3 linked regions of the Tribolium castaneum genome follow. The protein of the gene in region 3 binds, or shares a complex with, the protein of the main gene of each other region. Links are inferred from orthologs where the notes say so. Each region holds a gene or a part of one and is shown on either strand. Other genes may lie near its edges.

Region 1 (2,923 bases), on a different chromosome or scaffold from region 3:
GCCACAGAATGTCAGACGAAGTAACTTTTGACTACGTTAGAAGCCTAAAAGACAACAGACAGGTTCTTCTAATTGATGTGAGGAACCCGTCGGAATTAGCGCAAACTGGAACAATTCCTGGAAGCATCAATATACCTTGTAAATACCCTAATTAACTTATGAATTAACTGCAAAGTACTTCATTTCAAGTGGCCACTTTAGAAGAAACGCTGCAGAACACAAGTGATGAACAATTTCGTCAAGTTTTCCGAAGAGAAAAGCCTACAAACACCACGCCTTTAGTTTTCAGTTGTCAGTCGGGGCGGCGGAGCCGAGCTGCGCTAGATTTAGCCAAAAATCTGGGATACGTAAAGTAAAACATTCGTTTTGTTCCGTCTTTAATTAAAGTCGCCTGTGATTTTTAAATTTAGTTGGCAACTAGATGTTGCCAACTTAATTCGAAATCATAGGCCACTTTGACCCGAAATTTAAGTTCAATTTTCAGCGCCAAACATTTCCCTGGGGGATGGACCGGTTGGGTACAACAATGTAAAACAAATTAAGTAATAAAAAAACTTTATTTATACGTAATAAACACTCAATTCTACGAAATTAATTTTTCTTTTCGGCCAGTTTGGAGTTGACCATTTCCCTGAACTGTCCCAAAATCCTGTTCTCCCTCTTCTGCCGTTCTTCTTTGCTGAACATGGCCAAAGCCCGCTTCTCATCAGCTGAATAAATCTGGTTTTCTTTCCGTATCCTCACAGCCTCCATTCTCCTGTGTCTTGAGCCGGACATGACATAACCCACGGCTTCAAAACTTTCAATTTCTTCAGACGTGAGTCCAATTTCACCTCTTCTTGGTATCCGTTTTCCTTCGGCGACGTACGCAGCCATGGCAGCCCCCTCACCAGGGAGCAAAGCCTTGCCCATTTCCTTGTGAGTCAGGGCGGCATGGGGCTTCAAAATGGGGCCGACGATCACCTCTTCGGTCTCTTCCGCATTGGTTTGGGGTTTGTTGGTGGTTGTGGTCTTCTCGACCCACTCTTCCTCCCCTGAACTGCTCTCACTTGAAGACTTCTTCTTTTTCTTCTTCTTTTTATGCTTCTTGTGGGATTTTTTCTTTTCCTTCTTCCGTTTTTTTAGCTTGGGGGCGTTCTTGGTGACGTCTTCGACGTCACTGTCGGAGTCTTCGGGTTCGGGGGATTGGCCCCAAATGCTGGGGTAATCCCTCATTCCGAGGATCTCACGCTCCTGGCGTCGGGACTCCATGAACTCGTCCTCAAGGTGTTTTTTCTTTGTGACTTCATATTTGTCGTTTCGTTCAAAACCGTTTGTTGTGGTGCCTCTGGATCTAGACCTGCGTCTGCTGGAATGGCGGTCTCTTGACCTGGAATGAGACCTGGACCTGTGTCTCCTATTACGATCATTTTTAAACGATCTATCAGTTTTGTGTCTCCGGTGGTCCGGGGAACGGGACCGACTGCGTCTGTGTTTTGCCACATCCATCATTTCGTAAAAAATCAATTTTTTTACAATAACATAACCTTTAAAAAAAACTGTCAAACTGAAGTCACTTTACGTCATTCCCATAAGCTAGAATTGACATTTGCTCAAACCATTTCAAATTTTAAGGAAATAAATAAAACACAAAATGCGTCGATTTGCTAATTTTTATTCATACAACGATACTACAATTGTAACTGATTAAAATTCGGGTTTGGTGCAAGCCATGGCCCCGCACCGATTCCTGCAGCACTTTTTAGCCCCCCTGCAGTCCGAGTCTAGGGCACACCTGCTGGAGCACACCCAAGGGCCTGACGGTGCAACTGGACAAGACCCTTGTTTCTCTAAAACACAAATTAATTTTCTTTAAAAAAAATTGTATCCATTTCACCTCCTCTTTGAATTCGCCTCGTTGTTACAGGGGCCGTACAAAAAGTGCCGCCACAAGCCGTCCGGCAGCATTTGAAATGGCCGGCACAGTGGTTGTCTTCGAAACAGGCCACTTCACAGATCCCCACGTTGGGGTACGGGGGGCAGTCTCCCGATTTTGTTCGAGGCCTTTGGCCGTACACAAAAACAGTTAGAAGGGAAAGGATTAAGAAAAGTTTTGCCTGCATTGTTAACACTTGTAGGGCTTTAAGATGAATGGAATTGGATGTTGTGTAGGTGCAAGAGTCGAAGAAACGGAAACCACAAAACGACAAATTGAAATTTTGATTAAGTGTGCGGATTTAGGGCGGATGTGGGGTTCCACTGCGGTTTGCGCAATTTAGTAATTGGTTGAAATCTACAAAAATAGAAAAAATGTATTAAAAATTACCCATTTTTATTATACTTGTATTAATTTACTACTGTTTTTTTCTTCAATTCCTGCTGCTAAACAAAATTAGGTCAAAAATTTTAGTTTTTTGAGCGTTTCATCGCGTTTTCAGTCAGAAAAGCGTCTGCTGTGAGTAAAGTTTTATCAGAGAAGTCACACTATTTCAATCGTTATACAGTTTCACGTTTAAGACTGTAAACAGATTGAACCAAAAGTATAACAACAAAATTCACATTTAGTTTAAAAACAAGCCACCTTAAATATCTTAGTAAAAAAAAACAAAAAAAATAAAATTTTTGAGACAGGTCAATTTTTATTTAAAAAGAAACATTTAAAAAATCTCTTATATTTATTTATATTTATATTTATATTTGATTTAGTTATTTTTTTATCTTACTCAATATAATAAAATGGTCGATTGGTAAATTTTTTCTTATTTGAATTTTTCAAAAAATTTATTAATACGTGTATTATACACGTAATCAATAACAAACAAAAATTTCGAAAAAAACAATTTTTGAAAACGCTTGGTTCTATACTTCCGCCAACGCTGTATAAAAAATGCAAGGTATGATTATAAATTATAAAACGACCGAAAAAAATTGTTTTTATTACTAT
Region 2 (4,332 bases), on a different chromosome or scaffold from region 3:
TGTTTGCATTGCTATTTACTATTTTCTGGTTCTGGTTCAAGAAAATTTTCAGGTGTTAGATCTCTCTGTGTTAGGAACGGGAATTTTTCTGAAATTTACTCTAACGGAGCTAAATGTAAACCTTACAGAAACCCATTACTTTTTCCCTCTTCTTGAGGAGGCAATTTTTTTTCCTCCTCAAATTGTCCTATTGCCCTAGTGTTGTTTTTCCAGTTGTTAATTTTCTACTAATTACTTACTACGAAAGTTTATACAAAATAAATTGTTCATCCATACTTTCGACGATCTTTAAGAAATTTATTTCTTAGCTCTCTTAGCTATGAAATGTAAAGAGTTATAGGCTGTAGCAGATTTTTTGAGAATATCCCTATTAAAGTGGGTAATTTATAAATTAGCAACAGTGAAAAATTAGCCAATTATTTTGATAAATATTTTTCTGATGTACCAAAAAAATTGTAAGTGTAATTAAAGTAATCTTTCTGGTAGGTTCCCAGATATTTTAAAAATTGTCGAAATAATTCCTGTATTGTATATTTGGATAATAAATTGATGGATTGATCAGAAAAAAATAATAATAAAATAAAAAAATCAAACAATCATTCGCAATTCGGGGACTCACTCAGTCGCTCATTGGCCACACTGATGTCATAAACGTCCACAGAGCCCCCTTTGGCCGCCTGATTGCCCTGCTGCGAGATGGAAAAATTGCGATAAACGACACGTGCCCCATACGCGAAACAATCCGAATCCTGACTAATAATCCCATCGACGAGCTAAAACAACCCCTTGAACCTTAGAAAAAAAAATATGTTTTTACCCCAGTTTCATTCAATTGTGCGCACAAAGCCTCGGCCTCGCCCTCCCCAGTCACACACGCAAGCCCCAACAAACTCAACATCTCCTCGCACCGTTTCAACGTGTGATTAAACCTCGACCTGTCCTTGGTCTTGGCCCCATTTTTGGGCTTCGCCCCTTTGAACTGCAGGGCATTGCGGGCGGCGATCGTCTTGTATTTGAGCTCGGGGGCGCGCCCCTCGAGCACAAACACCACATTTACGTCCATTAGGAGCAAGTAACAAGTGCGGAAATACAAATTTCTGGAAAAAAAAATCAAAATTTTGAACCGGTGTCAGTCACCTAACCTCAAGTACATGCGGGGTTGCACCGTGTATTCGGTCACGTTTTGCGACTCGCACACCCAGCACGACAAGTCGATGGCCACGGTCTTGCCCTGCAGCTCGTAGAGGGGCTTACGCTCCCCGAAAGGGGCCAGAAGCGTCCACAGGTCTTTGATGCCCATTTTCAAACTTGGGGATTTTGGTTTTGGAGTTGGTGACAAAGTCTCGACGAAAATCGGGGGATAAAACGCTTAAAACAGACTCAAATGGGCAAATTTCGTCTTTATTCTCAAAAACAACATTGCGTCCAGAGTTTTATTTGTGAAATATGTTCTGTAATTAATGATAATAATCTTTACGACAACACCATTTCTTAATGGGTGTTTTTGCGTCGTTCGGTTGGTAGTGAGGCGCAGAAACGTCACGTTTGTTTGGGGGCTGTTTTATCAGAAACCACAATGGGGGCTATCCGGAAGCATGCCGGAGGATAGGTTTTGGCTGACGAAACGCCTTGTTGTTATAGTTTTGTTTTTGTATTTTTTGTACGTGTGGAAGGAGCTATCGGCGTGATGTCGAAGCACCGAGTGTCTTACTTCTTCAACCCTGACGTGGGGAACTTCCACTACGGGACGGGGCACCCCATGAAGCCCCACCGCCTGTCTGTGATCCACAGCTTAGTGTTAAATTACGGGCTGCACAAGCACATGCAGATTTACCGGCCTTACAAGGCCAGCGCCCACGACATGTGTCGCTTCCACTCGGACGAATACATCGGTAAAGCCACCACGGTAATTTCACTTGCCTTAACCCCCACACTTGTAGATTTTCTGCAAAAAGTCACGCCGCAGAACATCCAAGCGTTCACCAAGCATCTGAGTCACTATAACGTGGGGGACGATTGCCCGGTCTTCTGGGGGCTGTTTGACTTCTGCTCCATGTACACGGGGGCGTCGCTCGAGGGGGCCATGAAACTGAACAATAACCACTGCGACATTGCTGTTAATTGGTCAGGGGGGCTCCACCACGCCAAGAAATTCGAAGCCAGTGGTTTCTGCTACGTTAACGATATTGTGATTGGGATTTTAGAATTGCTCAAGTACCACGCGAGGGTTTTATACATTGACATCGACGTGCATCACGGAGACGGCGTCCAGGAAGCCTTCTATCTCACTGATCGGGTCATGACGGTCAGTTTCCACAAATACGGCAATTATTTCTTCCCGGGCACGGGCGATATGTACGAAGTGGGGGCGGAAAGTGGCCGTTATTACTCCGTCAACGTGCCGCTGAAGGAAGGAATCGACGATTCCAGCTATTGGATGGTTTTTAAGCCGGTCATTTCAAGCGTGATGGAATTTTTCCAACCCACTGCAATTGTACTACAATGTGGGGCCGATTCCTTGGCCAACGACCGCCTGGGGTGTTTCTCCCTGAGTACCAAAGGGCACGGGGAGTGTGTTAAGTTCGTCAAGAGTCTGAATGTTCCAACTTTGGTGGTTGGAGGTGGCGGTTATACGCTGAGAAATGTCGCGAGGTGTTGGACTTACGAAACTTCGTTACTTGTGGATGAACAAATTTCAAATGAATTGCCCTACACCGAATATTTGGAGTTTTTCGCACCCGACTTTACCCTACATCCTGAGGTGGTCACAAGGCAGGAAAACGCAAACAGTCGCCAGTATTTGGAGGCCATTACTAAGTAATTTTTAAATTGATAAGTATAAGGGAAAAATGACGAACGTCATTCAAAGAAAAACAACTTTTTTTAGTTAATTAGTTTTAATTTTGACTATGGAGGGCTATAACTTGAGCTAAAAAAATAGTAAAAACTACATGACATTATTAGTTCAAATTCTTGAAAAGTAGTTATTTCCTGTTTTTCCCCTGTACTCTTCAATTGAAGGTTGAACAACTATACCAGTGGCGCAGCCAGAGATAGAGTTTATGGGGGTTTACCTTCGTAAAAATATGTTTTTCATTAGTAAACTAATAACGACGCAGAAATGAAAAATGAGCTCTTTACCTGCATATGATTATTTTAGTTCCTTGTAGCACTTAAAATTAACTAAAAATAAATATGTTGCTGAATGTTTTTTCGGAAATGTTGTTCGGGGCAAAAATAATGTAAAAAAAATTGTCTTAAATTCAAGGTTATTTGTTGTATAGCTCACATTTTGTAGCTACAAAAATTATTAAGAATTTCACACAAAAAGCTTTATCTGTCTGTTTCCTGCCTTATTTTATAGGTGGTAATTGTTTTAATATTTTTGTTTAAGTGTTTCTATTTTAATTATTTTCAAAAATATATGCAAAATAATCGGTAAATAATATTGGTATTTTTTGTTTTGTGTAGATAATATTATTTTTTTTTATTTTTTTATTATTACCAGAAAGATAAGGGAGTGTACCTACTATCAAAAACAGTAATCTGTTAAAAATGTCGGTTTTCATAAAAAATAACGTCATTACTCAAAAAGTTATTTCTACCATGGTATCAGAAATGTAGCATTTATTTTACAAAAAACCTCTCCGAAGATTTTTCTGAAATATAACGAAAATATGGATTTTGTGGGTTGCTTTTCTCGGAATTTTCGGAAGTAGAAAAAATCGAATGTCTACAATGATTGTCTGGAAAGTTTTGTTTTATTACTGCAACTTAAATTATTTTGCATGATTATGTTCTCAACCCCCAACAATCTCCCTTGCTGCGCCACTGAACTATATTAAGGAGGTCTGAAGTGGAACTGAACGCAAAATTTGAAATTGAATTTTTATGAAAAGTATTGCACAAAATAGTTTCATTACAACTGGGTGTTGTTCTAACGTTGAATCATTCCCGAGTTTAAAACGGTTAGAAACGTGATTTGTTTATTTTTCTATAAAAAAATTAAGTTCAAATAATAATAATAATTTATGAAAAAAAAAACATGGCTTAAAATTAATTTTTTTAAAGTAGAAGTTATTTTTAGAACATAATCTTTTACCAAAAAAATCGCCATAGGAGGAAGCCATTTGAAAAAAAAATTAATAACACGTAGACTAAAAGAAATTTCAAAAAATTTTATTCTTAAAAAATTATCACATTTTTAAAGTAGTCGATGACTTAATAATTAGTTTTTTCGTAAGGTACATAGTTTAAGCATAAAATGCTTGGTTCCATACTTTTGCCCAACGTTGTATATGAATTTGAAAAAAAAACTTCTATGTCATTAAA
Region 3 (4,144 bases):
ATGAATTCTGTCTCTATTTCTGCCCTTTTAGAGCGTTATGGTAGGATATTTGGGGCCGAAATCTCTACCTTTATCATGTGCTATTGCCAGATAGAGACAAAAGTTCAAAAAGTAGGGTTAGGGTTATTATGCTCTCTTCTGAAGTGTTAAATTGTAACTTTAATGGATTTTGTGTGCTTTTCTGCACTTTTAGAGCGTTATTAATTATTGTTGAATATGTTTAAGGGCAGACAAAACTACCTTGAGTCAACGACATAAACTTCAGTGAGATTTATTGAAAAATGAACTTCTCGTGTCAACCTTTTCATGAAAAGGATGTTTAATCGTTTATAAAGGGCGTGTTAACGTGTGTTGTTAAGTTTACCACGTAATAAAACATAAAGTACAACTTTTCTATAAAACCATTTTGCAAAATTCTTATTCATTATTTTCACTATTTTTCTCCTTTTTTTTGTCCAAACGAGCTGGTGATGTGAAATTTCAGTACGAAAATTAGTGGTAACGCCACAAATTGTATTAATTTTAAGTCTCCAGAAAATTCGGTTTTAAAAGTAGGGTTATGTTATCAACAGGAAACGTTAAAATTTAAACTTTTAATAAATTCTGTGTCCGTTTCTGCTCTTTTAGAGCGTTATTAATTATTATTGAATGTGTTCAAGGGCAGATAAATCTACATTGAGTCAACGACATAAACTTCAGTGCGATTTATTTAAATATATATATATATAGGACAAAAATGAACTTTTCGTGTTAAACATTACCATGAAAAAGGGTGTTTAATCGTTCATAAAGGGCCTGTTAACGTGTGTTAAGTTTACTAGGTAATAAAACATAAACTACAACAACTTTTCGATAAAAGCATTTTGCAAAATTCTTATTCATTATTTTTACTATTTTCCTCCTTTTCTATAATTGATTCGCACTTCGGGGGCCATTCTGAATACTGTTTCCACCTTTTTTTTTTCAAAGAGTATTTGATTGTTATGTACTGATACACTCACAACTTCTTTTTTTATTTCACTTTGGGACACTGTTAGGAGCTACCACCAGAAACAGCTTCCAAAGCATTCGTTAAAAACATTTTTTTATTGCATTCCATTCGTAAGAAAGTGAGGTTAAAAATTTGACAACTTGCGCACTGAAGTAGCTACCGCGCAAGCTACCGAAATACTTAATAACCGAATATGTAACAAAATTCGACAAATACAAAAAGGTGGCCACAGTTTATATCTATTTGATAACATTAAACCAGTTACACCCAAAATACACTAATTAATTAAAAACAGTCATTAAATTGAATCTTTTATGAAATTATTTAATAATAATGGTGTTGGGGACTTTTCACTTGTGACACCAGTGTTGCCTTGCCCAGTGCTGCCCTTGCCACTAGCAAGTGTCAGTGTGGTGTCAGTGTGAGTTTGTTTGGCGTTATTAATCGTTTATTTGTGCAATAGTTTAGCAAAAACAGTCAGGATGGGCAAAGGCTTCAACAACTACATGTGTAAGAAGTTCTTCCACCCCGCTTCGCGGGACAACCTGAAGCGGGTGTGGATGGCGGAGCAGAAGGCCGAGGCCTACAAGAAGAAGCAGGAGGAGCTGCGCCAGCAGTACGAGAAGGAGCAGGACTTGCACGACAATAAGGCGATGCTGAGCAAGGAGAGCAAAGACAAGTTGAGCATCAACTTCATGTACGAGCCCCCGCCCGGGGCGCGCAAGGAGCGCGAGCGCGAGGACAACGAGCCGGAGTACAAGTTCGAGTGGCAGCGTAAATACAACGCCCCCCGTGAGAGCTACTGTAAGGGCGATCAAGAGATTAGGGACCAGCCGTTCGGGATACAAGTGCGGAACGTCAGGTGCATCAAGTGCCACAAATGGGGGCACATTAACACGGATAAGGAGTGCCCCATGTACAGTTTGTCGACCAGTGTGGCCAGGTCGCTCGAGTCGGCCTCGATTTTGGACCAGAAGTCGTTGGTTGAGCAAATGAGGGAGGATGGGCTTGCGATTAAAAAGCAGTATTTGAGCAATACGGGGACTGCTAATTATGATTTGATTATTAACGAGGATGCTGATGAGAATTCGGTTGTGACTTTTATTAAGTCGTTGACGAAGAAGCAGAAGAAGGCGTTGTTGAAGAAGTTGGAGAAGATTGAAAAGGGGGGGAGAGATAAGAAGAACAAGAAACGAAGGGATTCAGATGAGGCTTCCTCAGATGAAGACAGGAAGAAAGCAGGGAAGAGGAAGTTCAGGAGGAGGAATCAGAGTACGAGCTCTGAGGAGGAATCGGAAGATGATAAGAAGAAACACAAGAAGAAGGAAAAGTCGTCAGAGTTTAAACTAATGTCCAAAGAGGAGAAAAAGGCATTGATTAAGTAAGTTTCGACTTTAAAACTGAGGACAATGTACTCTACTTTTTAGTCGAATATCAATTTTTTGTACGAAAATTTTCATTTGCAGTAGTTCATTTAAAAAATCACAACTCTTGAAACTTTTACAATAAATAAATAATTATATTAGTATTCGATAACCAAAGGTTCAAAGGGTCTTTTCAAATTTTCAGGATTGTCAAATGTCAAATTGCAAGACTACTATGATTTTTTGAAATTGATCAAAAAGTAATTATAACAGTTTTTTCAAATTTTTGAATGGTAATCAAAAGGATATCGATTTTTATGGAGACTTTTATCAATATCTCCTATATCTATCTCTTATACTTTTTAAAATAATCTCAAAAAAAAAAGACCAAAAGCTCATTGTTTTCAATTTTAATCGAGTAAACTTTCGAAAAATACGATAAAGTTGTGCTATTAAATAAAAGTACTGCTTATTTGATAATAAATCAACTAAAAACTAAATAAAAGTTGGACAGTTGTTGACCATTTTGCAAGGTCTACTTGATTAACTATGAAAATTACGAAGTAAAATCCGTGTTTTTTTTTGTAATTATTTCTAAAAATGTAGGAAATGGGTATAGGACGTGTTCATAAAAGTCACCATAAATATTGATGTTCGATTGCTGTTAAGAAAAAAGGATCGTTCCATTTGAAAGACTGAGTTATAGCCATATTTTGCCAAAATCATACTAGCCTTGAATTTTGACAAATGACAATTTTACAAAAATTCAAAAATCCCTAAATCGATTAAAATAATATTTTTTATTTAAAAACGACAAAAAGGGGGCAATTACAAAAAATAGTACAAAGATCTTTTAATTTACTATTAATTAATTGATTACAGGAAACTGGAAATTGTGGAGAAAGCAATCAGTAAAAGGAACGAAAAGAATGGGCGAAGAAGTTCCGATGAGGACAGGTCAAGGAGGGACAAAAAGCACTCACGGCATAACAATGATGACTACAGACGGGACAGGAAGCGAAAATCTGATGATTCCTATTATGAAAATAGCAAAAGAAGACGCTCTTAAGTTTTTGTTGTACATTTCTTAGAATTGTTGTGATTATAGGGATTATCATGATACTTGTAATAATTTAGAAAACGTAATATATTTTTAAACGTATTCCACCGAATTTTATTTATAAATCCCGCCAACTTTAGCGACAGGCTGGCTATTGGTCCATTTTCGCGCAGGCGCTTAATGAGTCGCCATTTTGTAACGCAAGCTTGTCATTGATTTTCCTTGAAAGTGTTTTGAAACGAAATAAGCCAAAGCAACAAGCATTGGTGCTAGAAAATGGAACAGATACCAAGGACTCATGAAGGTACGCTGTTTTTTGCACCCAAAAGCCCGTTTCATGACTTTTTTGCGTCTCTAGACATCGAGGCCCAAATTCGTGAAATCCAGTCTAAAAAGAAGGAAATTCCGGTGGAAGAGGAGCGAAACGAGAAGGGTGTAGGTTTAGGCGAGAGTGGCTATTTTGATAGTGAGATCTACGATGGGGGCGGCGGTAAGGGTAAATACGAGGGTTATGTGACCTCGATCGCCGCCAACGATGAAGCCGATGAAGAGGACGACGATGTGGGTTATAGTCAGAAACGGACCGGACTGGGGGCCCCTGTGGCGCTCCTCAATGATGTCGCTCAGGTGAGATTTGTGTTATTTAAGTTTTGTGGTAGTTAACTGAGTTGTTTAGAGCGACAAGGATTTTGATCCGTTTGCTGACAAGAGGAGGCCCACGATTGCCGA

Evidence for each region.
Region 1: corepressor interacting with RBPJ 1 (region 3) and NKAP family protein CG6066 share a complex: the UniProt entries of both Homo sapiens proteins name them as parts of the notch corepressor complex. The link is inferred for Tribolium castaneum from reciprocal best matches to the Homo sapiens genes CIRSR and NKAP.
Region 2: corepressor interacting with RBPJ 1 (region 3) and HDAC3 share a complex: the UniProt entries of both Homo sapiens proteins name them as parts of the notch corepressor complex. The link is inferred for Tribolium castaneum from reciprocal best matches to the Homo sapiens genes CIRSR and HDAC3.

Annotation. Positions count from the first base shown.
Region 1 is NC_087400.1:4,954,108-4,957,030, forward strand, and holds NKAP family protein CG6066, read right to left. Parts: upstream 1,584-2,923; 5' UTR 1,492-1,583; coding exon 592-1,491; 3' UTR 539-591; downstream 1-538. Other genes in the region: waprin-Rha1, read right to left, coding at 1,687-1,829, 1,877-2,102. UniProt on the Homo sapiens protein: Acts as a transcriptional repressor. Plays a role as a transcriptional corepressor of the Notch-mediated signaling required for T-cell development. Also involved in the TNF and IL-1 induced NF-kappa-B activation.
Region 2 is NC_087401.1:11,246,762-11,251,093, reverse strand, and holds the start of HDAC3 (histone deacetylase 3), read left to right. Parts: upstream 1-1,525; 5' UTR 1,526-1,687; coding exon 1,688-1,892; intron 1,893-1,940; coding exon 1,941-2,817; intron 2,818-4,332. Other genes in the region: flap endonuclease GEN, read right to left, coding at 620-773, 818-1,097, 1,143-1,300. UniProt on the Homo sapiens protein: Histone deacetylase that catalyzes the deacetylation of lysine residues on the N-terminal part of the core histones (H2A, H2B, H3 and H4), and some other non-histone substrates.
Region 3 is NC_087395.1:16,037,806-16,041,949, forward strand, and holds corepressor interacting with RBPJ 1, read left to right. Parts: upstream 1-1,362; 5' UTR 1,363-1,473; coding exon 1,474-2,372; intron 2,373-3,237; coding exon 3,238-3,424; 3' UTR 3,425-3,517; downstream 3,518-4,144. Other genes in the region: Sf3b1 (splicing factor 3B subunit 1), read left to right, coding at 3,692-3,719, 3,774-4,042, 4,092-4,144. UniProt on the Homo sapiens protein: May modulate splice site selection during alternative splicing of pre-mRNAs. Regulates transcription and acts as corepressor for RBPJ. Recruits RBPJ to the Sin3-histone deacetylase complex (HDAC). Required for RBPJ-mediated repression of transcription.